Linked DNA regions of Mytilus edulis. The protein of the gene in region 1 purifies or fractionates together with the protein of each later gene. This does not show direct contact. Links are inferred from orthologs where the notes say so. Each region holds a gene or a part of one and is shown on either strand. Other genes may lie near its edges. The genes, in order: syntaxin-8-like and vesicle-associated membrane protein 4-like.

Evidence for each region.
Region 2: the proteins of syntaxin-8-like (region 1) and vesicle-associated membrane protein 4-like purify together in Homo sapiens (co-immunoprecipitation; 3 studies listed by BioGRID and IntAct, counting the BioPlex papers as one, with this or other methods). This does not show direct contact. The link is inferred for Mytilus edulis from reciprocal best matches to the Homo sapiens genes STX8 and VAMP4.

Annotation. Positions count from the first base shown.
Region 1 is NC_092352.1:44,206,592-44,223,389, forward strand, and holds the start of syntaxin-8-like, read left to right. Parts: upstream 1-9,650; 5' UTR 9,651-9,733; coding exon 9,734-9,750; intron 9,751-12,771; coding exon 12,772-12,871; intron 12,872-13,945; coding exon 13,946-14,040; intron 14,041-14,641; coding exon 14,642-14,743; intron 14,744-15,135; coding exon 15,136-15,260; intron 15,261-15,850; coding exon 15,851-15,943; intron 15,944-16,798. Other genes in the region: beta-1,3-N-acetylglucosaminyltransferase radical fringe-like, read right to left, coding at 1,391-1,876. UniProt on the Homo sapiens protein: Vesicle trafficking protein that functions in the early secretory pathway, possibly by mediating retrograde transport from cis-Golgi membranes to the ER.
Region 2 is NC_092345.1:21,929,966-21,946,768, forward strand, and holds the start of vesicle-associated membrane protein 4-like, read left to right. Parts: upstream 1-6,884; 5' UTR 6,885-7,010; coding exon 7,011-7,076; intron 7,077-9,549; coding exon 9,550-9,596; intron 9,597-10,247; coding exon 10,248-10,298; intron 10,299-12,588; coding exon 12,589-12,689; intron 12,690-15,381; coding exon 15,382-15,461; intron 15,462-16,039; coding exon 16,040-16,091; intron 16,092-16,803. UniProt on the Homo sapiens protein: Involved in the pathway that functions to remove an inhibitor (probably synaptotagmin-4) of calcium-triggered exocytosis during the maturation of secretory granules.

The DNA.
Region 1 (16,798 bases):
CAAGGCTCAGTTATTATAGGAATGTTACTTATTATATAAGACACTTGGGAATTACTGAGAAACATGCGCAGAACCTCATTACATGCTCTGGTCATTATTTCTTACAATAAATTAAAATACATTGTAATTAAGCATGATTTATGTCTGAGCAAATGCTTTGAAGTGATATAGAGAAGCTGTGATAACACCCTTTAGTTATTACAGGCATATTTTTTCTGTAATAACATATAGGTGTACTATTCAAAATTGGAATACTATGAACTGTTACATCTTTCAATAGTTAAGTATACATAAAGACAATAGTAATATCAATAGAACTTGTATACATTTTAACTAAACTTATGAAGTATATTGTCCCTTTGAAACATGTAACATACGTATGTTATCACATTTCTTTGATTTTTTAGTCCACAATAACAAATGTATGTTATTTTCCTGTAATAACCCTATAGAGTTATATCCCTGACTGACAAACAAACATGACAAAGTTTAATTTTGGACCCTTTGACCTCAATGTCAAAATGAATGTGGACTTATTTGGTACAATAGGGCGCAAAATCAAAAATCTAAATGAACAAAAGATGAATGGTACGATTCAGCATACCAAAGAATCCCATATTCAATTTTATTTGAATCCCATCAAACACAGTTTTATTTCGGACCCTGATTTGGATCAACTTGAACATGTTGAATACTGCACCCAAAATCAGAAATCAAATGACATGTTTAAATTCAGCATACATTGTATCTAAATGCATCATTTATAAAACAGCAAGAAATTTCATGAACTACAATGTAAATGGTGTGAACCATCTGACAATACCGGGTACCATTTCCTAAATGTTGTGACTACTAACCATAACCAAGGATTTGAAATTTCCCTATACAAATCCTTGACATGACTAAATTGTGAGTTGGATCGGGTATAAAAAGATCCAAACTTTTATTCTTAAATGACTAATAGAGGGTTATAATTGCCTATGTACATTTGCTACTTATAACTATGGACAGAACTGTGCCTATTATTGCTTATAATGTTTTATGTTTCATTACAGATGACCGTGGTCATTGTTCTACATTAAAGACATGTGTGAATAAATAGACATTGTTCTTATTTAACTAAAATGTGTGCAAAATTTCTGGATCCTTGGTTTTGATTATGAACTCTGATTTGACCATGTTGACTGTTTGGAAAAAAGAACACGACTTTCAATTCTATCCAAAATTGATAGAAATCATCGTCTAAAAATTTCAGATCCTTGCACAAACAATTACTGGATATTGATATTTCTACAAAAAGAGGTCATGGTAAATTATAAACATCTCCAGTCATAAAAAAGTATTTATCAAGTACCATGTACATTGTATATCAGAAAATCAAGATGCTCACCTCATCCTTAGCTAAAGGAATCCATGTTTCCATCAGCAAATCAAGTCTTGAATTCCTGTTTGATTTAGTGGTTTTAACAGAAATAAATATATCAGACTGAACTGTTTTCCTCATCACATTTTTAACATTCTGAATACGGTTCTGTTTTATTTTACCATTTTTGTTTACAATTTCATCTTTTCCCAAGTTTTCATCATCTGCAACAGAATTGACTCCATTTGTTTTTCTTTGGAATTTTATATGGTCAACCACCTGTTGTTCTTTCTGCAGCGATAACTGTCTTCTATAACTTCTCTTAACAAACTTTGTAAACACAATTTGCTTTGTTTGTATGCGTTCTGTATTTGTGACAGAAATTAATACAAGTGCAAGAATAAATGTGACAATCACAAGGAATAATTTGCAAATTCTTCGCAAAGAAATTCGCATCACTTGTCCACAGATGTTTACTTGTGTCTTTCTGCATTCCGACACATTACAATTCATGCAAGCAACCTGTACAATCGCATGCTCAGTAAACTTTCCCACGGTTGTAAACTTTGATTTACCTGGATCTTTGAAAAAAGTAGGTCAACGTATGAGCGATGTGTAAAAAGGTTAAAAAATATTTTAGAATCCAGTAGGGCAACAGTGTCAAGGTCAGATAGATGAGAAAAGGAAAGAAGTTAAATTGAAAATGTAAAAGATGTGTTCTCTCAACGTAAACTTGTTTTATTAAAAGACATGAACATGTAATGTCGATTTATTAGACTCTGTCACCTTTTTACTAACAAAAGAAAAAGTTTGATATTTTATGACAATATTTTTTTAATGAAAAATCATGAGTTGTTTGTATATACATGTATGTTGAGGCCAAGGAAGAGGCCACAACTCTGACATGAACACAGGAAGATTACATTTATCTATAAGTCTCCGCTTAGACTGAGAAATGGACCGATTTTAACACCGAGTGGTAGATTTATCTGAGCTAACATAACTTCTTTTATTTTTTTCAATTGATTCCTTGTACATAATAAATGAAACTTTTTACCCCAAATCCCTGACCTGAAATGAAACTTTAATCTTTTTATACAGATGTTCAGCTTATATTAGGCCTCCAGTATCACAACTTTTCATATATTGGATATTGAAAAATACTTAGTTATAGTTTCTTATTTGTTTTTAACCAAAAAGAGACCTATATGTATCAGGATTTTGTTATTCATAGATTTTCCAAAAAATATGATGCAGTTATAACTACGGTTTAATCGCATCTATAGAAAGTACCAAATTATATTTTGAATTGGGACTATATCACAGTATAATACTATAGTCTCGGTTTTAGATAGTCTAGTGAATACAACAACTGAAAATACAATATTATCAGTCCCGAAGGCAGTGCTTCGGTACCTTCACGATTCTAAACACACACTTACTTAATTTTCCGTTTATAAATTTAGAATTTATCAAGAGAATTTTTTGATTGTTCATATGTGCCGACTATTAATAAAAACATACTTCTTTACCTACTTACAAAGTTATAACGTGCTATTTTTTTTTATCATATATATATATGTTTCTTTTTAATTTCGCATTCTTATCATATATATCACGAAGCTTAAAATTGGTTCTTACTGGGTACTCCCGTCTGACCTGATCAGGAAATTGAATTAAGAAGACTTTGCTTAAAATTCAAATATCTTTTTAATAACTCGCTTCGTGGTGTTCAAACATGAATAGAATTGACAACCAACCTGAATGACCACAAGAAAAAAACACCTAAATACAACAAGAGTGTGTGCTGTCAATCAATAACACCTAATTTTATTGTACGATTTTTTTTTATGACATTCTTAATGAAAAGTAAAAAACAATTGTTCCAATGAATTTTTTTTTTATTACTTCTAATTCTAAAATAATTATACATCCTCCCTATATAACAATAAAAATTATTGCCGAAACGGCTTTAGAAAGTATGGCCGGTACGACGCCGAGTTTGGCCGAAACGACTGATTACGGCCGTACGGCAGTTTGGCCGGAACGACTGAGGTCGAGCGGCAATGTGGCCGAAACGACTGATGCCGTGCGGCAGTTTGCCCGAAAAGACTAAGGCCGTACGCCATTTTGGCCGAAACTACTAAGGCCGTACGGCAGTTTGGCCGATACGTCTGAGGACGGTGCGGCAGTTTGGCCGAAACGACTACGACCGTACGATAGTTGGGCCAATACGTATGAGGACGTTACGACTGAGAATGGTACGGCATGTACAACATGTAGAGAGCCTCTGTGTAGTGGTTAGTCCATCGGACTACTAACACAAAGGTTCCTGCATGGTTCGAATCCCGTTCCGGGATGAAAATTTCAGGGACTGAATTTTCGACTATCCATTGACACCTTTTGCGAGTATGGTCTTGAGGAAACGATGATAGTCTGTCGAAAGGGGACGATAAATGGCTGATACGTGTTAAGAGAGAGCCATATCTCTTGGACGTAAAAGGCACCCTTGTAGATTTCGTAAAAAGAGCAGGCTAATGCCGCTACAAGGCAGCACTCGCACCCGCAAAGTGGAAAGGGATTAATATAAGTTGCAAAACTTGTTTCCCAATCCACTATAAATAAATATGTTTCAACTAAACTAACGGTACGGCAGTGTGTCCGATACGACAAGGCGACTGCGGACGGTACGGCACGGTGGCCGATAAGTCCTCTCGAGTAAGTCCTCCATCGGGTGATCCTCAGATCATAGTCGGCTTATTAGTTAATCCAATTACATGACAGTAAATGGATATCAATAAAAGGAGGTGTCTGGTATGCGTCAACGAAACAGCAACCCAAACGTCAAAAATATCCAAAGTACATCTAAAGGTCTTTAGGTTCAACTAGACAAAGACAGGTGTTCACACAATATGTCCAACCCCAAGTTGTGCAGTAGACGACTCAAAACGTATTGACTACTGCACATAATTGGAGCTGACCGTTACATTATGTGACAATCTGGTTAATATTCAGATCTATCAGAATTCGCTTGCCCCGTCGCAATTATAAGAGGATATTGAAAACAGATCCATATTTTAGATAGATGAGATTGACAACAGATTTTTTTTGCGTTTGGAGTACTCGGTTTTCAACAAAAATCTGCACCAGTCATTAATCATCTTTATTCAAATGGAAGACTGGAAAACTTAAAGAAAGAAAGAAAGAAAGAAAGAAAGAAAGAAAGAAAGAAAGAAAGAAAGAAAGAAAGAAAGAAAGAAAGAAAGAAAGAAAGAAAGAAAGGAGCCGTTTACAGCTGAGTACGAGTGGATTTTGCTCGTTGTTGAAGGCCACACGGCCTTAACCTTATAGTTATATTTATTAAAAATCAGCCTACCATGCAGTATTGGTCACTGTTAAGTAAGTAAGCAAATGTTTGCACCTGTCCTAAGTCAGAAATCTGATGTACAGTAGTTGTCGTTTGTTTATGTAATTTATATGTGTTTCTCGTTTCTCGTTTATATATAGATTAGACCGTTGGTTTTCCCGTTTGAATGGTTTTACACTAGTAATTTTGGGGCCCTTTATAGCTTTTTGTTCGGTGTGAGCCAAGGCTCCGTGTTGAAGGCCGTACATTGACCTATAATGGTTTACTTTTATAAATTGTAATGGAGAGTTGTCTCATTGGCACTCACACCACATCTTCCTATATATCTAAGTAAGTAAGTAAAACTTTATATTTTGATTCGGTATATTGACACACATTACAAACATAAGCTCTAATGACTGAGCTTTTCACAGAATATGTATATAGATGCATGTCTCATAGACAATCATATCACATATCCTTGTTTTATACTGCATGGTACTGTTTCCATTGTTTTAAAGCATCTTAGTGAGGCTTGTATAGGGTATATTGGGATACGGGATATTTGCTATTTTAATTTTAGGAATATGGGATATTTGTCCTAAAAGTAAATGGGATATGGGATATTGATGCATTTATAAGGATATTGAATTTTTAACATGAAAAAAAATAAGTGGATTTAAAAGTTAAGTACAGAAATATTTACATCTCACTTGATAAAATTGCCCAAAAAAGTTTAATATTAAAGGTCATTTTAGTGCTTTGTTGATTTTAATTGAGTTAATGGTCGTTTCATTTAAAAGTCATCCAAACCCAAGCGAAAAGTATTGATCTATTTTCGATATTTATATGCTCATATGTACTAATAATTTTAAAAGCATTTGTTTTGCTTTCCATACTTCGTTCCTTATTGTTGATTTTCCTTTTTTGGATGGTGATGTTCCTTTGGCACTATCTTACAGTGTTTGTATATCACAACACCTCCGCTATGCCCGTGTCTGTTGTAACGTTTTGGATTTTAATGAACGAAATCTATGTATTACTGGTAAATAATATTAAGTCAGGGATTTCGTTACCACAAATCACTTAAAATCTTTACTAAATTCTAGATTTGGTTTTGAAGTTTGGTTCTACCTGTAGAAAATTTATTTCAAACGGGATAGCACATCCTCATTTTTACGGAGAGATGTTGTTTACCGTGCCGTTGGATGCTGGATGTGTAATGATTGATAATTTACTCTCAGATGCATTACTTTTTATTAGTTGTAATTGGCTTTGAACTAGCTGTCAGTAACTGCAAGTACTCTCAGATCTGTACTTAGTGTCTTTTTGTTGATGGGATGTACAAGTACTCGGTCACGTCCACTCTCTGTTTTTGTTAGATGTATTTCTGTTTATATCCATCTGATGAGTTAAGCCCTTTACAACTGATTTGTATAGTTCGTTCTTATGTTGTACTGTTACACCACTGTCCCAGGTTAAGGGAAGGGTTGGGATCCCGCTAACATGTTTAACCTCGTCACATTCTGTATGTATGTGCCTGTCCAAAGTCAAGAGTCTTTAATTCAGTGGTTGTCGTTTGTTGCTGTGTTACATATTTTTTTTTTATACATAAATTAGGCCGTTAGTTTTCTCGTTTGAATTGTTCTACATTTGTCATTTCAGGTCTTTTTATAGCTAACTATGAGGTATGAGCTTTGCTCATTGTTGAAGGTCGTACGGTGATCTATAGATGTTAATTTCTGTGTCACATGGTCTCTTGTGAAGAGTTGTCTCATTGGCAATCATACCACATCTTTTTTTTTTATATTATATGCTCATATGCATTGATAATTTTCTTGAAATAATCATAGATTTTTGTTAGATGTAGCCATCTGATGAGTTAAGCCTTATTGTTGTCAATGTTTTTATTTGTTTTGATGCTTTATATGATTACAGGATATTTTCTAGTGTTTTGCCTCTTATTTTTTACGTGACGTGGCGAGGATCTTCAGAGATCTCCACGTTTCACAGATTGCTCTGATGTGCAACGGCTGTTTTGCCAGACAAGCTGGGGCCGAGGGACGTCAGAGCACGTCCCATATCAAAAAGTAGATATTTTGCTGTATAAACTATGTACTAGTAAATAAAGAATAATTACTATAATAATCAATGTAAATTAATATATTTTCTTCTATTACTGGTGTTGTGAGGAAGGAAATTTAAAAAAAAGTAACAAACATATTGGGATCTATGTAATTCATAAAGTTCAAGATCACAGAGTCAAATGTTGTTTATTTCTTTGCAAAACAAGGGCTGTGCAAATTTTGCCTGCTGTAAAAATATTGCAACAGTTAAGTGTAATGTAGGTAAATTAGCAGAAAGCTTTCTTGTGTTAAATTTTGAGTTATTGAACTTGCATGGTAAATATCCAGTTTTTGATATGGACGTGCTCTGACGTCCCACAGTCTCAGCTTGTCTGGCAAAACAGCCGTTGGATGTCAAAGCAAGAGACAGGGTTCAACTTGAGTCCTTCTGTTCTTTCCAACATAGGTTAACGTGTAGGATGAAGTTTCTTATCAATGAAAGAAGAATGCTATCAAAATTATATTTTACAGTCATATGCATCACGGTTTGAACAATTAAAAAAAAGTCTGAAATTAGACCCCTTACACTAAATTTATCGTTTAACCTCACATAAAAAGAGATTGTTATACAAGGCTCTAAGATGGAACACTTCATCTTTTGGACACATACATTGTATATTCTTATTTAATACTAGAAGTATGCACTAAATTTCCTTTAACACAGTTTGTTTTCCCAGAGTCAAAATTTTTGACGTTGTGATGATGAGGAAAAAAATGGGCTTGGGAATGAATTTATAATGAATTTTTGGGATATTTCAAAATAGTTTTAGGGATATGGGATATTTGTAAAAAATATTTATTGGGATATTAGGGGTAAACATTATAGGGATACGGGATATTGGGATAAAAACTTAATGGGATACGGGATATTGATACCCCCCCTAAACAAGCCTCCTTAGTGTATGGCCTAACTCGGAGAATAGATCCGTCTAATCAATTTCTTAAGGATTGTTTGCCATAACCGAATCCACATCAAACCAGGCACATTTCTCATCAAACAAGTAGGCTAATAGATTACTAATACACTAGTCTTTGATGTCTTAAAAAATCAGTCTGGTGTATATATTATGGGTCTCACTAATTAGCGACAACAAGCGTCAACAAGCGACAACAAGCGTCAACAAGCGACAAGAAGCGACAACAAATGAAACATTTGTGAGAAAGAAAGAGATTGTGAAGTTTATATTAGTATATTGGTAGATGAAGAAATTTAACATTTGTGAAAAAGAAAGAGATTGAGCTTCTTTTTTTTTATTTTTAAATATGAAGAATATGTATAAGATAATGTATGAATCTGTTTTCATCAAAGTCAAAGTATGAATAAACGAATGGAGATATATATGGAGCGGGCATAATGGAATATAATATTTTGATTCATTTGCTTAATACTATGCTCTAAGTGTACTCTTGTTATTTCAATTCGATGCTTTATTTGTAAAACTCTCAGCCACGCTTTGCCATCTGTATTATTTAAGCGTGTTTCCAGAGCCCACGACGAGGACGTGGTTCTACCTTGGGGTCCATATACAGATCACGTACTTTTGCGGGAAAAAAAACCCCAAAAAAGGTCAACTTTCCTTTGAAGGATTTATTGAAACAAAAACATGAAATATTATTTCCTTTCTAACAGTATAATTCATTGTTCTTGATAGGAACAACATTAGATGTGGCTTCCCCTTAAGGTAATAACAGTACACACAATGTGGAACATCAAATGAGATTAACGAGTCGCGTGTCCCCTGTTTTATTGCTACAATAACATCCAATTAACACCTTCAACTTTGTACACACGTCAGACTATACAATTACACGCTAGACTATACAATCATTGTAAATAGTGAACACCTGTTGAAAACTCAAGATTGTCATTAATTTCCTTTCATCTTCAATCAATATGCATAAACATGATAAATATCGTTTAATGAGGCAATAAACAAATAAAAAGATGAAAACATTCACATTTCAATTTTCTTTTCCTCCTGTTTGGTTTCAGTTCTTTGTATTTCACAATTTGTGTCAATATTTTCAGGACAATGATGCACAAGTAATTCATTTTGCGAGCTTAATACATATTGCACGAAAAGAGTTTTAAAATACAAATTATAAGATAAATAATATGTTTTAAAACACAAGAAAAAGTAATCTCATAATACAATAATTAAACGTAATACTGGCTGTTATTCATAATAGATGTAAATAATGTTTCATTTTTTTCTATCAATTTTAACTTTCTTGTCGCTAAAATTATTTTCTTTTGCATATTCTTTTAATATTTATTGCAATAATTAATTTTAATTAAAAAAAATGTTTTCTTGTCGCTAAATAACAGCTAAATAGTTTCTTGTCGCTTGTTGTCGCTAAAATAATTCTTGTTGTCGCTTCTTGTCGCTTGTTGACGCTTGTTGTCGCTAAAATTCTTGTTGTCGCTAATTAGTGAGACCGTATATTATTATTTTATGTTTCTTTAATCACTCTGTAATGTTTATGTCATGTTGTAATAAATGTTATACTCTTAATGGGCCTTTTAATTTGGAAAATAAAAATATTATATTGTATTGTATTGTATTATATAGTCCATTATTTTTTAAACCAGCCAAATAACTTATGTACGGTCTGAGACTGCTATAACACAGAGTTATAGTAGTCTCAGGTACGGTTTTTATCCGCTGATCGATATTACAAATAATAAGAAAAAATTGTTTTGATTTATTCAAGGATTTATATAATAAAATTTATTGTAAATATGTTCTTGGACCAACTTATGTATACATGTATTGGACTAAAATTGTGTTTAGGGTTCAGTTCCCATGTACCTCTTACAGTGACCAACAATTATAGCCTAAATAAAGTCTTACCTTTATTCATTCTAATGTCAATTTGTAAACTTCCGATCACAAGATGGCAAGCGATACTTGGTTAGTAATGTTTAGTATATATATAGCATACAAAAGCTATAGATAAAGGCATGAAACCTACTTAATATCTTTCCTCAATAGTAAAATGATTTGTCGAGATACACATTCAGTAAACGTTGCTTTCATGTAAAAAATAACCAGTGTTTTAAAACAAAAACAAAAAGGGGGAGGGCAGTTTCAAAGCTCCTGCAACCGATAATATTTTTTACATTTATATATTACACTTGAAAACACTTCTTAAATGTAAGTTATATGATTATATAATAGTTGTTCCTGTTCTCTTGTTATAAATCAGATTTTGACACATTTACCATTTTAAGGTTCATGTGGACCCTATGGCTAAAATGGCCGTATTTTCACCTCAAAATTTACTCTGAGTACAGGCAAACCTGTACATCTGGAAAAGTTTTAAGGCATAGCATGCCCTAGATAAATAGAATTCAAATGCATTGTATGATTTAGAAAATTCATAACTTAACTGGATTTTGCCGTACACTTTTTTTCGTCCCTGCAGAAGATGATAAAATGAACAAACAGTTGAGTTTACCTTGATATGGTCCACTCAGGTACACAGTTTAAATAACCAATTATTGTCAGGTATCTATTGTCCATCTCATGTCCATGTCAAGCAATACAGCTCACTTCAATTATTACCTGTGGGGAAGTTCTCAAACCTGTTTCCCAACTTAGTTTATTTTGGCACCTTCTGGAGGAATGAAAAAAAGTGCACGGCAAAATCCTTGTAAGTTTTTATTTTTCTAAAACATAAAACATATTTTAAATTTATTTATCTAGGGCATGCTATGCCTGAATTTTTTTACAGATGCGCAGGTTTGTCTGTACTCAGAGTAAATTTTGAGGTGAAAATACGGTCATTTTAGCCATAGGGTCCACATGAACCTTAAGTAATATGAGGCAGGCATTACCTGTGAATGGGGACGAAGTCTGTATGATTTTTTTTTTTTTAAATCAAACATGTTAAAAAGAGAAATGGAAATACCGTAACGTTTCCGATTTTGGTTCTGTTGTTAAGGATTTTGGTTGTGACGTTATTTAAGTTATGACGTCATATTCAATGTAAACAAAGAAACGCTGTCATCAGGTAATGCAGTGAGGTAATGTTTTTTTTTTTTTATAACAAACAATTTTTAAAAATGAATTAGTATTAAGTTCCTTTCTTAGACTGATAAATATACATTTAATTCAAAGTCTCACATGTCTCATGCAAACAAGAACGGAAATGGAAGTAAATTTCTGCGCAGATCCGGAAATTCAAAATCGCGACAAAAAAAAAAATGGAATAATTTTGAGTTCATTAGTCCACACCAAATTAATTAGTAGTTCTTTGGAAAACCCGCACCTAAATTGCCGAAATTAAAATAAAAAAATAAAAATAAATATCCCACACCTCACCTGCCAACACCAAAAAATAAAAATAAAAATAAAATTCCTGCACGTTGAAAATAAATCCGCATTTTCGACGAACTCGATTCCGGTATAAAAAAAAAATCTTTATCAATTAAGCGTTTGAAAATATACAGTGTTTGTCATTTGTCAAGCATATTTTTGATTCTGAACAAAAAAGTTGCAAAGATGGAAAACATGCTGATTGTTTCTGTGGTGAAACATTCAGACAAAAATAACAACAAGGCATACATATTAAAAAATACGGCAACACAAACAAAATGTCAGACATTCAGGGAACTATATCAAGAAGCCTTAGTTGAAATCTTAGTTATAACATAGGCTTATAAATGGAGGTTATGTAGGTATTTCCATGTTGGTATGTTTTGGTGTAATTATGCCCCACCTACGATAGTAGAGGGGCATTATGTTTTCTGGTCTGTGCGTGCGTTCGTCCGTCTGTCTGTCTGTCTGTCTGTCTGTCTGTCTGTCTGTCTGTTCGTTCGTCCGTCCGTCTGTCCCGCTTCAGGTTAAAGTTTTTGGTCAAGGTAGTTTTTGATGAAGTTGAAGTCCAATCAACTTGAAACTTAGTACACATGTGCCCTATGATATGATCTTTCTAATTTAAATGCCAAATTATAGTTTTTACCCCAATTTTATGGTTCACTGAACATAGAAAAGGATAGTGCAAATTTCAGGTTAAAGTTTTTGGTCAAGGTAGTTTTTGATAAAGTAGAAGTCCAATTAACTTGAAACTTAGTATAAATGTTGCCTTTGATTAGATCATTCTAATTTTAATGCCAAATTAGAGAATTTATTCCAATTTCACGGTCCACTAAACATAGAAAATGATAGTGCGAGTGGGGCATCCGTGTACTGTGGACACATTCTTGTTTATTTTCTGATATTTAATTGTAAAGTAGCACTAGCTAGAACCCCCAGTTTCCACTGTGCTTGGATTGACTGGTTAGTGATCCATATGCATAAACACAAAACACACACCATGCAGTTATGTTACAAGAAGCTAGCTAGCATACTACAGAGGGTGTCTAAGGACCAGAAGGTGCATATACTACAGATGAAAGCAGTGCATATTAAAAGCAGATAGCCATATAAAGTTCATGCATAAAAAAATATGTTCAAAAGTGTATATTTGTGCAGTGTTAATTATACAAACAACAAAACAAAATGAAAAAGAATGCAGAAAGTTGAAATACATATAAAAAGGGAGATAATTTAATTATATCAAATTATGTCCCCTTTCAATTTAGTGAGTTGAAAATTCAGTTGCTTCTTTTAGGTAAAAGATATAAAAATTGAGAGAAAAAAATATCGCTCGCTCCATATTTCTTCAAAATTTGAGGCGAAGAATTTAAAAATATAAATTTAAATTTCGCTCGCTCGCCCCATTTTTTTGGGTTAAAATCTCAAAGAACTATTAATTAATTTGGTGTGGCCTTAGTACAATGAAAAATTCGAGAAATTTTCCTGATTTTTAATTTTTTTTATTGAATTTTCTACTGTAATACATGTAATAGGGGAATTCATCCCCATTTTATTATTTTTACACTTATCAAAAATAATGTTTGAATAATTTGACTGTAATTGATTTTTCAGGTTAAAAGACTATGAAGCCTGTGCTAGTGTTGGTCAAGAACTTATGGTTTTGATCAATGATAGAAATAAAAATGGTCGCACAAGTTCTACATACACAAAGGTAAACAATATGTGTAAAGAAGCTATGGTTAACTTTAGAATCAATGCTTTTGGAAAAAAAGACAAAACATATCAAGGGGACGATAAAAGCTCATAATTTAAAGAAAAATATAGAATAAACACACCATGGTAAAAGAAATACAATCATCAATAAAACACAACATTGGTAACTAAAGATTGAGGAACACTAATCCAACAAAAAAAGGGGGTGCTCAAAAGGGTAAACAGTAATTCGCCGTTTCAGAATCTAAAGAATCATGGGTAATTTCATTGTTCGTACCCCAAAATGAAAATAACGCCATGTCATTGGTTAAATTTCTATTGTTTATGACATTTTTAACCAATCAGGACGTTGTGGTGTACACTTTTGAAAATATTACCCATGATACATTAGATTCTGAAACGGCGAATTAGTTCTCACTCCACATGTAGCACCTGTCATGTTACTCATGTAAGATCAAACCCAGTAATAAGTCTCTGTGATGTCATAGTCAAGCAACATGTACATGTATTGGTGTCTTTTAAACTTTCAAAGGGATGAACCCTTCAATGATTTCCTGTGTGTACTAATGGCTAAGGAAGTCATGATAGGAAATGCAACTTATGGAATGTTGCTACATAGATGAAAGAGTTTGAGCGCTGCTATCATTTTCTTATGTTGTAAATTTTTGTTCTCAACCAACCCTAGATGCCAATCTCTTGATTTGAGTCAAGATGTTGCAGTTTTCATAAAAAATATAATTATTGTTAAAAGGACCATTTGCTGTTTATTGAGTGTTAACCACAAATGAACTGATACATGGATGATAAACAGTTAGTTATAACTAATATAACAGTTTACTTATTTATGTTTTGTAGTTTTCTTAATAAAAAAAAGTTCAAATATAATTTTTGCAAACATACAGTAAAAATCTACGGGAGCATCTCAAGTATTACAGGCATAACCACAGTATTTCCAGAAGAAAAAAAAAATACAATTTAAATAATTAGATTTATGAAAAAAAATAAAAAATATTTCAGCAAAATGCCAAGATATAAATGAATATTTTATTAATTTCTCTTTATCTATCTTTAGCTGTCAGCACAAATTAGAGTTAAATTGAAAACATTCTCAAATGAAGTCAACAAGCTGAGACAGAATTTGATACGAGCATCATCATCATATCATATGTATCCTTTGGTTTATATTATTGAGTGTGTTTCAGTCTACGAGTTATAGCAGTGTGTGTGTTTTTATTAATTCATATCAATTTTATAAATTATATGTCATTTAACCCTGTTTTGGATTTGGAATATACTATTTTTCTTCTTCGACTAACTGACTAATGGGAAATAATAAATGCATGAACTGGAGTGACAAATATTATCGTCTGAATTGTTTTATAATACATGTATGTAAAGATTGCATAAAATGCAATCAAAACCTTGTGGGACCGACTTGATATCTAAATCTTCCAAGGCTTATCACTACCTTTTTGATACACAAGATATAGTGCATTGATCCTGTTACATCCTATCAATGAACATTTCTAGAAACTTATTGATGTAATATATGCTCAGATATTCAACATGTTCAAGGCACAAAATGATGTAACACTTGTCAAGAAAATTACATTACTTTTGCAAGGTGCAGGAATCTTGTATCTATTCTTAAAATACAAATGAAATCTAAATGATGTCATTGTTTTAACAGATACAAAGACCCAAAAACATAATGCCCCTAAGTGGGTCATAAAAATCCTAAATTAGTAGCCTTAACTGTAATTATTAGAACACAGAGAGAAGTTGAACGTAGACAGATGTTAATTGATAATTTAATTACTAAAGAAAAACAGATAAATGAAGCTTTTAAAAATGAAGGTAGTAATTCTAGGTGAGTAACTTGAATTCAATGTTTTAGTTTCATTATAGTTCAAATTGTTTGTTAGTGATTTACTTTTGTATGGCCTGTGATGAAAGTCGCAGAAATTGAGACATGAATGGTTTTATTAAAAGCAGCTACAACTGTTAAGTTTGCTGCAAACCCGGCCACATTAAATTAATAAGCAATTTCAAATGTCAAGTGTTCTGCATAAGAAACTTCTTGTTATAGACCAATGATATTTTATATGAAGTTGCATTACTACCAGAAAACATCAGTTTGAAAGACTTTTTCAAGGCCATGGAGTCAATTTCACAAAAAAAAACTTATGGCTAAGATTGGTTGTACTCTGAATCCATTTGTCAGAGTCATTCAATCTTGTCAGTTCAATTTTTTCATTACAGAAATACGCTGATTGGTACAGATACATTTGGTAATAATGATCCTTGGGGTGTAAAAGATGAACCTGAAGACTTCCAGGGAAGATCTAATACTGAAGTCAGAACACAACAGCAGCAAATTATTCAACGTAAGATCTATTAGTTGATTACACAAAAATCTCAGAGATTGATTTATCTTTCTTCAAACCGTCTCAATAGTCTAATGGCATCATGCTCTTCTCAAGTGAAGGAGGTCTAAGTTTTTTTGAACCCAGATTTATGAAAAAAAATTAAGAAGTGTTACATGTCTTTCTGAGGACTGCAACTTTATGAACAAACACAATAAAAATGTTCTAAAGCTTGCAAATGAAAAATTTAAGATGTTCACATCTTGAGTGCAGAACAATCAAAGCTCACATGCAACAGAAGGAGTTTTTATATATCAGCCATAGTAAAATGTTTACATGAAACACAGATTTGATCCTGATTTGCAGATATCAAAGTTGACATTTAAAACTAACATGCTTTGTATGTAAAATGTTTTAAATACATGTAGTTATATTTTAACACTTTCATACTCATACAAGTTTTTCAGTTTTTACTAAAAAGAAACTAATGTTGTAGAGTGAAAACTACCAAAAGTTATTTATACCAGAATGAATTTGCAATCAAAATATTTTGCATAGTTTCCTTTTGTATGGTTGAAATCTTTAACATAGTATAATTTGGTAATTTTCAGAACAAGACAGAGGTCTAGAATCACTTTCTCATGTTATTACTAGGCAGAAACAAATGGCCATAGATATAGGTGATGAAGTAGACAGTCAGAATGGTAGGTATTATCTCATCTTTTATACTTCTAAAGGAAGAGACTGATTTTAATGAGCCACATCTCCTCTGAAACCATACAAATTCAGAAATATTTGTGATACGATGTATAAATCAAAATGTAGTGTTTGGTACTTCCTAAATTTGTCTTTGAAACAATCTTGTTTTCCACAGAAAACACTTATCCTTGAGAAAATATCCAAATTCAGAGACTGTTAAAGATCCATGTCTTATACACTTTAGAGCATCCTCAGTTGATTCCTGTGTGTAAGGTCACCAGATTTTACATAGCTTATACAGTTATCGAGTGAAAGAGTTAAAAACTACTGAAAATCACACTTTGCCACACTTTTCTTAGGGTATTTGATATATTTATTTTCCAACCTAGATAAATGGGGTTTTGCACATTATGTTCATCATTTTCATCTCTTTAAAGAAATAGAATTGAATGCATTAACCATGTCTAAATTTTCACTGCATCCACCTTATACTGTGTCCACAATCTTTGTTTCAACACTTTCCCAATTGTACCGTGATTTCATGGGCATCTTCTAGTATTTCTAGGTATAAGTAATGATCATAGAGATGCACACTTATTGAAGGGGTATGATTGTATAAAGGGTAAAATTTAGGTCAGGGCTATCCAGATATAAATGGATGGGGGTGTCAACATGCATAAAATTTAAATTGATGATTTCATATAATTGTTAAGGATATCCTCCTAAAATAATCACCACTCATCAAATTTGATTTACAGTGCCTTATGACCCTCTCCATTTGATTAAAGCCTCAATGAAATTGTGGGTATCAGATGGTTTAATTCCATGTGTGCATTCTGTTTACATATTATTCAAAGATT
Region 2 (16,803 bases), on another chromosome or scaffold:
CATTTTTGTGATGCTTTAAACATAAATAGAATTTCTATATTTGGATAAATATTCTGCAGTTTTGAAGTTTTCATTTTTTTGGCATTAGTTTTTGCAGATGCAGATACCACACTTAAGGGATTGTAAAAAAATCCTACATGCGTCATAAAGGCAGATATCCTTTAGTATTAATCCTTAGATATTCAAACGCTTGCTTGCTTCGTCATGTGTAAAAGACCATTGGTTTTAGCAATTTATTTCAAAATGAGTATATCAAGCTATTCAAATTGGAATCTTAAGTTGTTATGTTACAGGTTGTAAAATTACCAAATGCTTATTAAATCATGTTGCATATTAAAAACAAATCTTTATGCTTTGAGATATAGTGGTTGTTGAAATAATTTAACCTGCCTCTCCATTTATAGAGACTTTTTTTGTGAACATATTATAGTATTATTAAGCAATTTAATGAATTCATTGAGGTGACAAGCTTTTTTTTTTTTTAATAAAATCTGATTATTCTGCAAAGTTACTTGATAATAGGTTGTATGATGGAATATTTATCATCAACACTTTACTCTTAAATGTGTAAAATTTCAATGGTGCTATTTTTACATTGTTTTGTGATGAAGTTTTACTCAAGGGCAAGACTATCAGTTCTTTCATTAAATTGTACAGATATTTATACTTCACTTTTGTAATTGTATTCATAAATGTAGTAAAAGACAAAGTTGTGCAATGCACACTGGTTGTAACGCCCCATATGTAGTCAAAATACACCTTACACACGACTGGATACTAGAATATACCAGTATACTTAGATTAAATATGAATTATAATTTCTAGTTTGAAAATCAGATCCAAAGAATCTTTTGACCTTTCCGATTAACTTCAATAGTCATTACTACATTTAAAATTTGAAGTCAATTAAAACTTTTATTATAAGGAGGTTGTATCAATTTTTAGGTTAGTAGATATATACATGTGAATAGACCAGGAGTCTTTGTATTTGTAATTTTTTCCCCTTTGGAAGAAAACATTTTTAGTAAAATATAAAAAGGGGTATTTAAGGTTGATTGGTATCAAAATTAATTTATATTTTCACCCAGAATATTAAGCAGTTCATTATGGAGTATCTATCACTTCATATACATCAACAATTATGTGCCAAATATATGCAAAACTTACAAAAACATTTTTAGTAGCTATATGTAGATAAAATTTTGTATAGATATTTTTAATCATGATCTTTACCATTTAATATTGTATTTATATATACCGGTAGACTATTTTTATCCATCAGTTTTATATGAATTAGTGTTTTATAGCTGTTATTGTGTGCTGTATTGTTGTGAGTAACTCTCTTCAAATTTATTTTGTTATTAGAAAACAGCCTTTCTGATGTCGTTTCTGATTGGTAATTTAAAGAAATTTTATAATACATGTATCTGGAAAAAAAACATCATAGATTATTGACTTTTTAATTGTCGAAAATCAATTGAATTAAACTTCAAAGTAGATTTGATTATTTTGAATTTCTAGTGGTTAACTTTCAAGACTTTTGGTAAAAAAAACTAAGATTATTTAACATCTTTTTAGCTGTGATTTTGTCATTCAAATTTTTGTACATAAGGTTTAAAACAGCATACACTAGATGAATTTTGATTAGTTATTTGTAACTCGATGATGTCAGTGTAAGTTTGTCAGCATGTATTTAGTACATTTGTTGTGTCATGTGACATGATATCCCACCTTCTTATCATCGTTGTACTTTTCTTTAAGATAGTCCCATTTGTAAAAATGTTCTATGACAGCTGTACATTTGATATTATTAAAAAAAAATTACACCATTCTGTGTTTTATATCTATGTCTGCCTTTACCTATGCATTTAAATTTATCAATGAAAACACTTTTTTTTTTTTTATATCTTTTTATGCCCCACCTACAATAGTAGAGAGGTATTATGTTTTCTGGTCTGTTTGTCCATCTGTATGTTTGTTCCTTCGTCCGTCTGTCCTTCTGTCTGTCCTGCTTCAGGTTAAAGCTTTTGGTCAAGGTAGTTTTGATGAAGATGGAAGTCCAATCAACTTGAAACTTAGTACACATGTTTCCTATGATATAATCTTTCTTATTTAAATGCCAAATTAGATTTTTTTAACCCAATTTCACGGTCCGATGAACATAGAAAATGATAGTGCAAGTGGAGCATGTTCTATGGACACATTCTTGTTTTAATTTGTCTTGTAATAAACAGAAGTGGTAAATGGTTTTGTATGAACTAAAATTATTTGGTAATATTTTGGTATGGATGTGTTGTCTACCAATAGACTGTATTTACCTTGCTTATACTGATTACAAAATAATTCTTGTTAGTAGAAAAATAGCGCAATCTAGTTCATCATGAATATTCTAAACTATGATTTTCTTTGATATAAATACATCAACAAAGTTGGAAAACCTAAATGAAATCTATATCAAAAGTTAATATCAGCAAGGTCTTCGAGGAGTGAGATAATGAGTGTTTATAACCTATTTCTATGCCCTTGACCGTCTGTATGTACGTACGTATGTCCAAAAATTGGTTTCTGTTCTCTAACTTGAGTTTGCCTCAACCAAATATTATGAAACTTATACACAATGCTAATAACCTCAAAACACAGATCAAGTATCAATTTTGGTGGCGTCACTTTCTCCGTTCTAGAGTTCTGCCCCTTTCTTTATAAATGGAAAAATTGCTTAATTTTTGGAAAGATTGGAACTTGTTCTAAATCTTTCCTTAGGCACTGGCCTTCCTAACAACACAACAGGTTAGCTACTATTACTGCATGTATTCACTCTGAAATATAGTTCCCTATAGTTCTCATGTATTTGCACATAATACACATATAAACTGTGAAAAATGGGTATATTTTTGGAGCAGTTCATTCAATAATGTATGTAATTAAGGTGTGTTGATGTGCAGGCTTGTTTTAAGCATTTTGATTAGGTAATTGAGTATTGATACAATACTAGTATGATTGACAACTGTCATTATCACCAAACAATCAGGGACAAGGTGAACCGTAAATTACAATGCCCCACCTAAACTGTCAATCAAATTGACCACATTACATCAGTGTTACAAAATTGTATAGGCCCAATAAACATCTCAATACACAAATGTATATATTAAATGTTTGATATATAAGGATGATAGATTTATTTATTGCCTATTACTTTTGATCTACATTACATAAAGTGATTCTGTAAATTATGTCTGAAAGATAAATGATTAATTAAGGATTAATTAAGGATTAACACGATCTTTAAAAAAAAATGAAATATAAATATAAATATGAATATATAAAAGGTATTCAAGTTAGGCCTTTAATTTACTTGATAAATTTCCAATAATCATCTGTAATAAATCAACAATTTAGGTTAGTTCACTTTTTTTTTTATCAGAAATTGGCTTGATGAACAGTTTTAAAATTTTAAAACTTTTATTTATAACAAACCATTTTTTAGCTCACCTGGCCCGAAGGGCCAAGTGAGCTTTTCCCATCACTTTGCGTCCGGCGTCCGTCGTCCTGCGTCCGTCGTCGTTAACTTTTACAAAAATCTTCTCCTCTGAAACTACTGGGCCAAATCAAACCAAACTTGGCCACAATCATCATTGGGGTATCTAGTTTAAAAAATGTGTGGCGTGACCCGGTCAACCAACCAAGATGGCCACCACGGCTAAAAATAGAACATAGGGGTAAAATGCAGTTTTTGGCTTATAACTCAAAAACCAAAGCATTTAGAGCAAATCTGACATGGGGTAAAAATGTTTATCAGGTCAAGATCTATCTGCCCTGAAATTTTCAGATGAATCGGTCAATCGGTTGTTGGGTTGCTGCCCCTGAATTGGTAATTTTGAAGAAATTTTGCTGTTTTTGGTTATTATCTTGAATATTATTATAGTTAAAGATAAACTGTAAACAGCAATAATGTTCAGCAAAGTAAGATCTACAAATAAGTCAACATGACCAAAATGGTCAGTTGACCCGTTTAGGAGTTATTGCCCTTTATAGTCAATTTTTAACCATTTTTCGTAAATTAAAGTAATCTTTTACAAAAATCTTCTCCTCTGAAACTACTTGGCCAAATTAATCCAAACTTGGCCACAATCATCTTTGGGGTATCTAGTTTAAAAAATGTGTGGCGTGACCTGGTCAACCTACCAAGATGGCCGCCACCGCTAAAAATAGAACATAGGGGTAAAATGCAGTTTTTGGCTTATAACTCAAAAACCAAAGCATTTTGAGGAAATCTGACTGGGGATAAAAATGTTTATCAGGTCAAGAACTATCTGCCCTGAAATTTTCAGATGAATCGGTCAATCGGTTGTTGGGTTGCTGCCCCTGATTTGGTAATTTTGAAGAAATTTTTCTGTTTTTGGTTATTATCTTGAATATTATTATAGTTAGAGATAAACTGTAAACAGCAATAATGTTCAGCAAAGTAAGATCTACAAATAAGTCATCATGACCTAAATGGTCAATTGACCCCTTAAGGAGTTATTGCCCTTTATAGTCAATTTTTAACAATTTTCATTAATTTGGTAAATTTATGTAAATTTTTACCAAATAAAGTTCTCTGTTACTAATGGGCAAAGTTCATGATAGATATAATTGTAAGAAGCAAAATCGTTCAGTAAAGTAAGAACTTCAAACACATCACCATCACCAAAATACAATTTTGTCATGAATCCATTTGTGTCCTTTGTTTAATATGCACATAGACCAAGGTGAGCGACACAGGCTCTTTAGAGCCTCTAGTTATTAATTTATTCCCCATCAATCATTATACATGTCTATTTTAGTCATTTGAATTTTTATAAGAAGTGGATATATATTTTTGCTATCAAGAAAAATCTGCATTTCAATAAAATAAGTTTTTTAATTTGTTTACTTTGAAAAACTACATTTTCAATGCCCTGTGCTGAATAAATACTTTATAAATTGATCAAAAGGCACTCTACAACTTTTAATCTTTTAAAAATGTCATATAACCTATGCGTCAACTTACAAAATGCCCCAAAATGAAATTATTAGATTATATTTGTTGACACTTTAAATTTCAGTTGTTGGTCCTTAAAACATGTAAAAAACAGGCAACATTATTTGGATAAGATATTAACTGCAGTTTCAATAAAATTGTGCAAATTTAGAGACCCATATTATTTTATTTGAGCTCATTTTATCTTCATACTGGAAAAGCACTTTTATTCCTGCTAGAACCCTGCTGTTAATGCAATTTTCAGCAATACTGTTTTATTAATGTTCTTTTGTCCCCACCATACCTTTATATGAAATTGTTCAAACTACTCTTCCAATCTTTCCACAGGTGTTATCTAGCACTTTGATTAGTTTCCATTCTCTAACTTAAGTTTGCCTCGACCAAATGTTATGAAACTTATGCACAATGCTCATTACCACAAAACTCAGATCAAGTTTGAATTTTTGTAGAGTCAGTTTAACCGTTCTAGAGTGATGCCCCTTTATGAATTAAAAATTTGCTTAATTTTTAGTTTCCGTTCTCTATTAAATTAAGGTTTGCCTTAACCAAATGTTATGAAACTTATACACAATGCTTATTACCACAAAACGCAGATCAAGTTAGAATTTGGTAGCATCACTCAAATGGTTCAAGAGTTTTGCTCCTTTAAAAGTGGAAAATTGCAAAATTTTGAGTTTCCGTTCTCGAACTTTAAGTTTGCCTCAACCAAATATTATCAAACTTGTACACAAATAAGTTGGGTCACTATAACCATTATTGAATTATGCCCTTTATAAATGGAAAAAAATGCAAAATGTTTAGTTTCTGTTCTCTAACAAGTTGCCTCAAGCAAATGTTATGAAACTTGTACACAATGCTTATAACCACATAAACCTAAGTTTGCCTCAGCAAAACATTATGAAACCTATACACACTACTTATTACCACAAAACTCAGATCAAGTGCAATATGGGTCACTTTTATTGTTCCTGATTTATATCCCTTTATAATGTTGTATGCAAGCTGGGGCATTTATTAAAGAAGTTAAGCTACTGGGAAATTGATATATGGAAAATTGCAGTGAAAACCATTGCTTTTAGGATATTTAATTAAAAAAAATTAGGTTACCTCCTCCCCCCAAAAAAAGATAACTAAAATAATTGGGCGGTTTACCAGTCTAGCATGAACATCATGCCACAAAATGAACTCCAGTATAGAAGGCAATATTATATTGGGATAGGAAATGTGATTTATCTTATTTTCAAGATGGCAGAACTGGCTATTCTATATAATATACAATGAACATTGTATCACACAACAGTATTATACAAAGTGCACATCATACCACAAAATGAACATTATATTACAGAGTAAACATCATACAACAAAGTGAACATCATGTCACAAAATGAACATACAAAGTGAACATCATGCCATAAAATGAACATTGTTTCACTTAATAAACATGTCACTAAATGAAGATCATGTCACAAAATGAATATTACATCACAAAATAAACATTTAATCTCAAAATGAACATCATACAACAAAATGAATGCAATGCCACAAAATGAACATTCAAAGTGAACATAACACAAAATGAACATTAAATAAAAAATGACCATATATATCACAAAATGAACAATATATCACAAAATGAACATCATTTCACAAATGAACATAATGCCTCCAAAATGAACATTTAAAAATAAAAAATAAACACTATACTATATACTATCCCATAGCGAGTGTGTCTTAACCCTTTGATTTTACAGACAAACAATTATAGTATTTGTCTCGATAAATCTGATCGGTGATGGGCGTGATGATGATGAGCCAGATTTTGCCGTACGCCGGATATACTGATTGTTACAAGTAAGTGTAGCCTCATTATTCACACGTTTCCGGTTTGATCACAACAAAACTGACATCTGACATGTATTTCGAAAAACCTCTGTAAATCACCACAGGACTCTGTCATTTGATAAAAAGTCAACAATTTTATAAAATGCCACCAAAGTTCGTCAGACAACATGACAATATGGATTCTAACCGAGCCAGAAGCGCTGAAACGGTATTGTACATATAGCATCATCCAAGTCCAAAATGACTTTTTTTTTATGTCTGTTGTCATCTATCAGAAGAAAATAAAGCACTTTTCACTGTTTAAAACATTTTGAGTGTTGCACTTCGCCCTTCAACATTAGAAAACAATCAATCATGCATAAGACGGTCATCAAAATAACAATGTGTGACAGATCAAATGCAAGAAACCAATGTCAGGCAATGAGCACATGCACATTGTTTGTTTATATTTTTGCATAAATCCTTGTCTTGCTTTTTTTAGATCACTTTTATGTGTACAGTTCTTGCCAGGTTGTCTAATCACCTTCAAAAATGAGCTAAAAAACATCAAACCATTCAATAGAAAAAAATTAAGGCCTAATTTATAACAAAACCATTGATCATGTTGATGAAAAAAAACCAAATATTACAGACAAGAACCAATGAAAACCACTGAACTGCAGGGTCCTGACTTGGGACAAGCACATACATTTGTCAATAATGTGGCAGGTTTATTTATGTACATTGTAAATAATCTTTAACATATGCTGTTTGGCAACAAGGGTTATGGTTATTTTTCGAAAAAAATAATTCTGATACCCAATATGAAATGTATGATGAAAAATAATTATCTGGCCAAGCAGATGACAAAAAAAGTATTCTGAATCCCCCATACCTTACAGTATTAAAAATTGAAAAAAATTATTCGATTGATAGCTTGGAAAAGCTAGAAAAATAATTTTGAGCTTTGTAGATAAAAAAAAAATAACACCTCCTCTCCCCACCAACCTGAAGTTAAATGGTTGCTTATTTAGTCCTTAGTATGGGGTTTTGTGGACTTTTTAAAGTTAACTTTGCACTTAGATCTTATTTAAGGAATTTCCAATGATGTAGCCATAAAAATATCATTTAAAGCTTAACATCTAAGTATAATGGCCACCTGTCACACACTAATGATTTAATCAATAATTTCTCCACCTGACTCCAATCTTACCAGGTTTACATTGAACATCTAGTTCTATATACATATGTATATGTTTCTTCTCTATCTGAGTAAATGTCTAAAAATAAAAATCATCTAAGAATTTTAAGATGATTGATTGCTGGTTGCTTTATGTACAGTAGCAAATATTTCATGCTTTTCAAGAAGAGGAGAGGAAGGATTTTAAGATTGTAGACTTATGATTTAGTAAGACAGAATCTGAAATTGATAAAAAATGTGCCAGTCTATTTAAGTCAGTTTGGGAGCACCTCATCAAATAAGGAAGCCTTTTAAACAGATAACAGCCATACAGCATGAACAAAGACTTATATATTTTTTGTATTTACCACCAATTAAGTTACTGAACTAGTGACTTACAAATTTTTCCAATTGTGTGAAATTTTTTTCCAATTGTATGACATATGTTCAAGAATCTTTCATTTCTGTGTTCTTTAATTTTTAAGGTAGTTTTTCTCTATTAGTTATCTTTCTTAATTAGCACCCTCTGTTTCTCTAGATCTATATTATTTATGTTTTTTGACAATTTTTCTGTAGATTTGGTCCATTATTCTCTATTCTGTAAACTCCATCCAGAACCTCATGTGTAGATAATTATATATTGGTTGTGGAAACAACATGACAAACACATTGCTTATAGATAATACACATGATACAGAAAGCAAAAAAAGAAAGTTGAAAATTGTCATAGCACTATTTACCAGTCAATTCTGCGAACAAAATAATGTAAAATTGTCGCCCAGCACTGAAATTAATTTAGTGAGAAAAAAAATCAAGGTGTAATGAAGTAAAATGATACATTTCTAGTATAACCTACTGTGGATTCAGTAATTTTCATGGCTGTAGTAAAATTTGCATTTTCATTGATATTTGATTCAATGTTTAGCCAAAGTCTACATACAGACCTATATAAAATTTGAACTTCGTAGGACTTCAAATTCCATTGTTTACTTAAACCCAAAAAATCAACAAAATTAATAAATAAAAGACAATATTTATTATCACAAACACATTTACATTAACTGGTTATGGCATACAGTATTGAGACAATAAACTAAATTAATATCCTATCAATAAAAATGAATCCACTGTATATTAAGGGGGGGGGGGGGTGTCTCATCACGATTCACAAGTTGATTTTTTTGTCAATCACGATTCACAGAAAATAAATTTCCATGATCACGGATCAAGAAAATATTAAAAAAAAAATGTGTAGAAAATCGCATCACGATAGCGAAAGTGTGCCGATCACGAAGAAGGAAAATAACCCATCAGACCCCTCACCAATTAGTAACCTGTGACAAAATTCTTACATATTTCAGCCTTATTAGACATATATATGGTTGAGTTACCTGATAATCCAACAGCTTGGTTTGTTGTCTTGTGTTTCTTCAAAGCAAGTCAGTCCTCATTTGGACCACACTTTTACTTTACTTCTACACAACATGTATATGTGTAATATATACCATTATTTATTTTGCAGAGAGCACTTCTTGATGGAAATTCAGATGAAGAAGATTTCTTCTTGAAGTGAGTTTTTTCCTGTAGCATTTACATGATGAGTAGCAATAGCGTAAAGTATAAAATATATTGCATAGCATTGCAATCTCTTCTGGGTTCCTTTTGCTAGTTTAACCCCTATTGCATCAAAGGTATAACCTCATCTTGTTAATAAAAACAAATGAGCAATTGTTGCTTATTATAGAATTACTGTAGTCCTATAGCATGTAAAGTAAGAAGTAAAAATAAACAAGCTTAGTTTAAAGTATTTGATAATTTATTTTCTTTATGTATCTCACTGGTAAATTCTAATGTCTCAAAATATTGTTATACATGCATGTATGTGCATTTTCATTCTGGGAAAATATAGAGAAAAAAATGTGTTTCCTAAATAATCATAGATTTTTTTTTTTAAATTATAATAAAATCTTGTTTATTAACACTTAATATGATTAATGTTATGAAGAACCAGTTCAAAATTATCACTTTATATACCATTCTTTAAAATTTGTAGGATATCATGTAGATTTGACTTTTACATAGCAAATATATTACAACTGCTTATTATAGTGTTTTGAGTAATTATGTATTTGAGGTTTTGCTATTGTGCTAATAGGTAAGATTTGTCATGCATACATATGCTGTGTATTTATTCTTACAAATGTTTATATTTATTTGTAGAGGTCCAAATGTCAAACCCGGAAACATAAGGAGTGATCCAAAGATAAACAGGTAACTATAAAAATCAAGGAATGGTCCAAAGATTATTATTTATTCGTCCTACCGATGAAGTCAAAGGAGACTTTAAGTTTGCACTCTGTCTGTCTGCCTGTTCCATGAATTATTTTTCCTCACATTTTTCTTAGGAACTACATTAGAAGAATTTCAGATATTTTGTTTCAGGGTTTATATGAGTCAGCTATACCTTGTGATGCATTTTCACTCAACAACTTCCTGTTTACTGAAATATTTTGGCAGGGGTATCATAAGTGAGCTGTAGATCACAGTTTCACTTGTTGTTTTTGTGTAATTTTCAACCATACCACATCTTCTTGTTCTCATATAAGTATTACCATTTATATAGGCAATATAGGAAAGGTATACTGACATAAGAAGTCTCTAAACACATTAACTCCAAATGGAGCTTTCGTTAGTAGAAGCCATATTAACTATGTGTATCAGTGAGAGAAATGTAAAAGCATAAAAATATAGTATATATACCAATACACATAATTAACAGCGCCTGGTGATGTTTCATAGCCTGACCGGTTTCGGTCCAAAAAGGACCTTCATCAGAGGCAGAATGGTGGATTAATGTTTGCACCCTATTTATATAGATATGGTAACCGGCGGTTGAGATAACCGGCAGTTGAGATTAAACCGGCGGTTGAGATTTAACCAGCGGTTGAGTTAACCAGCGTTTGAGATTTAACCGGCGGTTGAGATTAAACCGGCGGTTGAGTTAACCAGCGGTTGAGATTTTACTGGCGGTTCAGAGTTAACCGGCGGATCAAAGTTATCCAGTGGATAAATATGTATCTGGTTGATGTCTAAACAGGTTAAATTATCCTTTCAGTGAAAAATCCTCGTGGGGTTTCCATGGTTACAGTTATCTATATTTAGCTAATGTATACGTTACAGTAAACTTTTTGACATGTTACAGTAAACATTTATTTTGACATTATACGGTAATGTCACCTAATGATATAACCATACTTGGGCTTTAGCATTGGGTAAAGGGTGTTTTAATAATTTAAGAAGTACATGGTAATCATTTAGTCTTGATCTTTGGCTTATGATACACCTAAATATCAAGTCTTGGAATAGTATTTCATGGTAGTTATGTGATCTTAATATTTGGCTTATGATACACCTAAATATCAAGTCTTGAAATTGTACTTCCTAGTAGTCATGCAGTCTTGATCTCAGGCTTATGATACACCTGAATATCAAGTCATGAAATAGTAATTCATGGTTGTCATGCAGTCTTGATCTTTGGCTTATGATACACCTAAATATCAAGTCTAATAATAGTATTTCATGGTAGTCATGCAGTCTTGACGTTTTAGCTTGTGATACACCAAAACATCAAGTCAAAAACCCCCCTTAAACCAAATTTTGTGACTACCATGAAATACTATTATTAGACTTGATATTTAGGTGTATCATAAGCCAAAGATCAAGACTGCATGACAACCATGAATTACTATTTCATGACTTGATATTCAGGTGTATCATAAGCCTGAGATCAAGACTGCATGACTACTAGGAAGTACAATTTCAAGACTTGATATTTAGGTGTATCATAAGCCAAATATCAAGATCACATAACTACCATGAAATACTATTCCAAGACTTGATATTTAGGTGTATCATAAGCCAAAGATCAAGACTAAATGATTACCATGTACTTCTTAAATTATTAAAACACCCTTTACCCAATGCTAAAGCCCAAGTATGGTTATATCATTAGGTGACATTACGGTATAATGTCAAAATAAATGTTTACTGTAACATGTCAAAAAGTTTACTGTAACGTATACATTAGCTAAATATAGATAACTGTAACCATGGAAACCCCACGAGGATTTTTCACTGAAAGGATAATTTAACCTGTTTAGACATCAACCAGATACATATTTATCCACTGGATAACTTTGATCCGCCGGTTAACTCTGAACCGCCAGTAAAATCTCAACCGCTGGTTAACTCAACCGCCGGTTAAATCTCAAACGTTTGTTAACTCAACCGCTGGTTAAATATCAACCGCCGGTTTAATCTCAACCGCCGGTTAACTCAACCGCCGGTTACCATATCTATATAAATAGGGTGCAAACATTAATCCACCATTCTGCCTCTGATGAAGGTCCTTTTTGGACCGAAACCGGTCAGGCTATGAAACATCACCAGGCGCTGTTAATTATGTGTATTGGTATATATACTATATTTTTATGCTATTACCATTTATATACTTTACAGATTTCAGGGCCAAGTAAACTATTACCAATTATATACTTTACAGATTACAGGGCCAAGTAAATGAGGTTATTGATGTGATGCAGAACAATGTTGCTAAAATTGTTGACAGGGGAGACAAACTTGAAGATTTACAGGATAAATCAGGTAAAGGGAGACAAACTTGAAGATTTTCAGTATAAATCAGGTTAATATTTTTGACAGGGGGAGACAATCTTAAAGATTTTCAGGATAAATCAGATAAAATTGTTGACAGGGGAGACAATCTTAAAGATTTTCAGGATAAATCAGGTAAAATTGTTGACACAGGAGACAATCTTGAAGATTTACAGGATAAATCAGGTAAAAATGTTGACAGGGGAGACAATCTTAAAGATTTTCAAGATAAATAAGGTAAAAATTGTTGACAGGGGAGACAATCTTGAAGATTTACAGGATATATCAGGTAAAATTGTTGACAGGGGAGGCAAACTTTATGATTTACAGGTTGAAGGCGGAGACAATCATAAAGATTTTCAGGATAAATCAGGTAAAATTGTTGACAGGGAGGGGAGGCAAACTTTATGATTTACAGGTTGAAGGCGGAGACAATCATAAAGATTTTCAGGATAAATCAGGTAAAATTGTTGACAGAGGAGACAATCTTTAAGATTTACAGGATAAATCAGGTAAAATTGTTGACAGGGGAGACAATCTTAAAGATTTTCAGGATAAATCAGGTACAATTGTTGACAGAGGAGACAATCTTGAAGATTTACAGGATAAATCAGGTAATACTATTTGTTTTACCTTTATTTTGCATAAATTTCAATGTTTGCATAAAAAGATATCTAGCAGAAACAGAGAGGAAGACACATATTAACATTTGATATATTAAAAGTTCCAGGTCTGATTTCGTTTTACACACACAAGCATAATTGCAACCCTCCTGTTTTTAGCAGGAGACTCCCGCTCAAATGGCTTAATTAATTCTGGAAATCTCTAGTTTGCTGGTCTGCTCTGCGCAGGAGTATAAAATCTCTGACTTTCAGATATTTTAACCCAGATTGACCAGTCTGACAACATTTATTATGTTTTTTGTCACCGATGAGCCATGGGTAGGTGTTACCTGTAAATCACAGACCATGTGAAATTGAATGGCTTTACTGGCAAGGTTACTATACTAGTAAACTAGTATTGACCATGCCAGTGGTAAATATCGGTAAATACCGGGAAAAACTGGCAAATACCAGCAAATACGGGTCAATTGAAATTTTGAGTGGTCACTACTATAAAAACCACTCTCTACCTGGTCAATTACTATTAATTAAAGTGTTCAAATCATTTTTAATGGCTTTCATTTCTATTCCTCTTGTAAATTCTTTGAATACACAGTGATTTACATTGATTGATAAGTAAATATTATAATATTATAGTAACAGTACAAAATGTTTTGTCCCCCAGAAGCTTCAAACTTTCCATTTTCAGCATGAAAAAGGATTTTGTCTCACAGTTAAGCAGACAGGAAATATTTCATTATTTATGGGAGTCTTCAAATATCTCTTTTATCACCCATGTATTGTCAACATTTATTGGGGGCTGTTGTTTTAGTAATTAAATTTTCACACCTAGCAATCCAGGTAAAAGGTAAAAAGATGCATGTAACTTCATTTACCTGTAGTTTAATTTACCATTACTTGTAATATCATAATTCATAATAACTTAATTTCAAATAAGTAGTAATGAGTGTTATAAATTAATAAAACATATCAAATTCAGTAATCTATAAAAGCTGACACTTGTTTTTAAGATTAAAGTTTAAATCTATTTGACTTTTTATTATGTTTTTACTTCAATTAAAAGTGAAAACAACCATGAAAATTTCAATTGACCAGTATTTGCCAGGATTGACCACTTGGGGAGTATTGTCCAGGGCGGCAAATACCGGTAAATACCACTGGTAAATACCGGGGGGCTGTATTTACCGCCCAACCTTGGGTGTCAAATATAATACAATTAATGTTACATTAACGTTGTTTGCCTCAAGCCTGGTGTATTTTGAAAACACTTCAAAGAAATTTCGGGTGACTTCCTATGTTTAATCATGTTTTAAGTAAAATAATGTGGATTAATAAAAGAATATAAATTAAATACAAATTGAACAAAGAATCATAAAAGGATTGTTATTTAATGATTTGAATGTCTAAGGACAAATAAAAATTAAATAGATCTATACTTCTTTTCAATGTTTAATTTGAAATTTATAAGAAATGTTTTGAACTATTTGTAAATGTTGACCATGCAAGGCTTGTATAGCCAGTCAAGGTCGTTAAACACTTCCACCATCATCATGTAAATGTTGGCCTGAAGGGACACACCTATCTTTTGATAAAAAGATACTTTAGCTGGAAATGTCAAATGTCCAGTTGAGGCTAGACAACTCTGTCACATGTACACTCAGAGGTATTGAAAAGGGGGGAAAAAAACCTAACAACAACACACCTTGTATAGGATATAACCATGATTGAAGAAATAAAGTATGTTTGGTGTTTTGTAAATAAATAGATAAACAGGTCATATTTTTCACTTGAAAATGCGATTTACACAAAATCTCTCCCTCTTTCAAGGTTTCAGAGGTTGGCAGGTATGCACAAATCACATGATACATCAGAAATATATTCAGTGTGGAGAACAGTATAATTTTAGTAGTTCCTTGGTTTTTGTTAAAATAATATTTCATTGTTAGAGTGATCATGTTGACAAATATATTCAGTCTAACCACATTTACAAAATATAATTTGCATCAATAACAAATATGCCTTCTTTGATAAATCTTAAAAAAAGAATGTTTTATTCACAGAAAATTTAAGTGACCACGCAGATATGTTCAGATCAAGAGCTAAAGGCTTACATAGACAAATGTGGTGGAAAAATTGTAAGGTAAGAATTTTATGTAAGAAGCAGGACATTCATGAAATACAAGTATGACCAATTAATAATAGTTCTATATAAAAAGGATAAGAGGAAATACTAAAAATACTCAATAGCCACAGATACCTGGCTGTTCCAAATTAAAAAAAATGTATAAAATAAATAGCAGTGAGCTACAACTATAAATAACTGTTGATTCAAAATACACTTAGACACAGATTTCCTGTGTAACAGGAGCAACAAATACACACAAATTTACACATAACAACACGGTGAGTTACAATGACATGCCTTATTTGGTATAAAGAATCATTGTAAGCTGTACATAATTATTTGACAAGGGTCACCTGACTTCATTTTCACAACTCTCATATTTATGTCAAGTAATCATGATACATAAGTAAGATCTTGATCTCAAAAATTTTCAACATTTTGTTCCTCATGAATAAATTAGCTGAACATTTCATTTTGTTAAACAATGAATATTTTCTTGATAGTATCTCTTTTCTCGTTTTGTCTTTTACATAGTGTGGTGCAATATGTATGAAAACCAATAAATGTAATGTTGTTTTTTTTTTAAATTTTAGATGAAAATAATAATAGCTGTGGTGATTTTAATTTTACTTGCAGTCATAATCAGTGAGTAGAACATATTCAGGATCATTTCTGAGAATTTTGTATAAATGTATATTTAATTTTGAAATTTAAACAAGATTATATTACTTGGATAATTACATTAGATGTATGTTTCTTTATTATACAGTTATTTTGATTGGCTAACAGCAATTTTACGTCCTTCTGAAACTAACATTCATTACACAATAAAGATGATAGGAGGTCCAACAATAAAGTGCACAGGTTTATTAAAGAAAATATTGATAGAATTGGAATTTCATGATCCTAGCTAAAAAAATGTAATAAGTATTGAATGCTTCTTTTTGTAACTTCATAGGGCTGTAAAAGCGTTGACCATCCGCACTTCATACAAAATGTACTTTGGTCAACACTTTTACACCCCAATGAAGTTACAAAAAGAAGCATTCATTTATAAATTAAGAAGGATAAACCGGCAATACAAATATAAATATTATCCTTGGTTGACTCAAACCCTATATTTATGTTGCATCCCTCCAACTTTTAAGAGTCTGTTCTACATGCGGTCTCTTTATTTAAGCTGGTGAAAAACTATACCTTCAAACTCTAGCATTTTAAACATGGTAAGAAAATTAAATTAATAGTTTATAGGAGTAATGAATTTTATTCCAAGTGCTTCTCTTGACTTTCTCAAGAAAAGCTAAAAAAAAAAGTGAAACTAGCTAAATGACCAAAAGGTACCTGAAAAAAGTAGCCA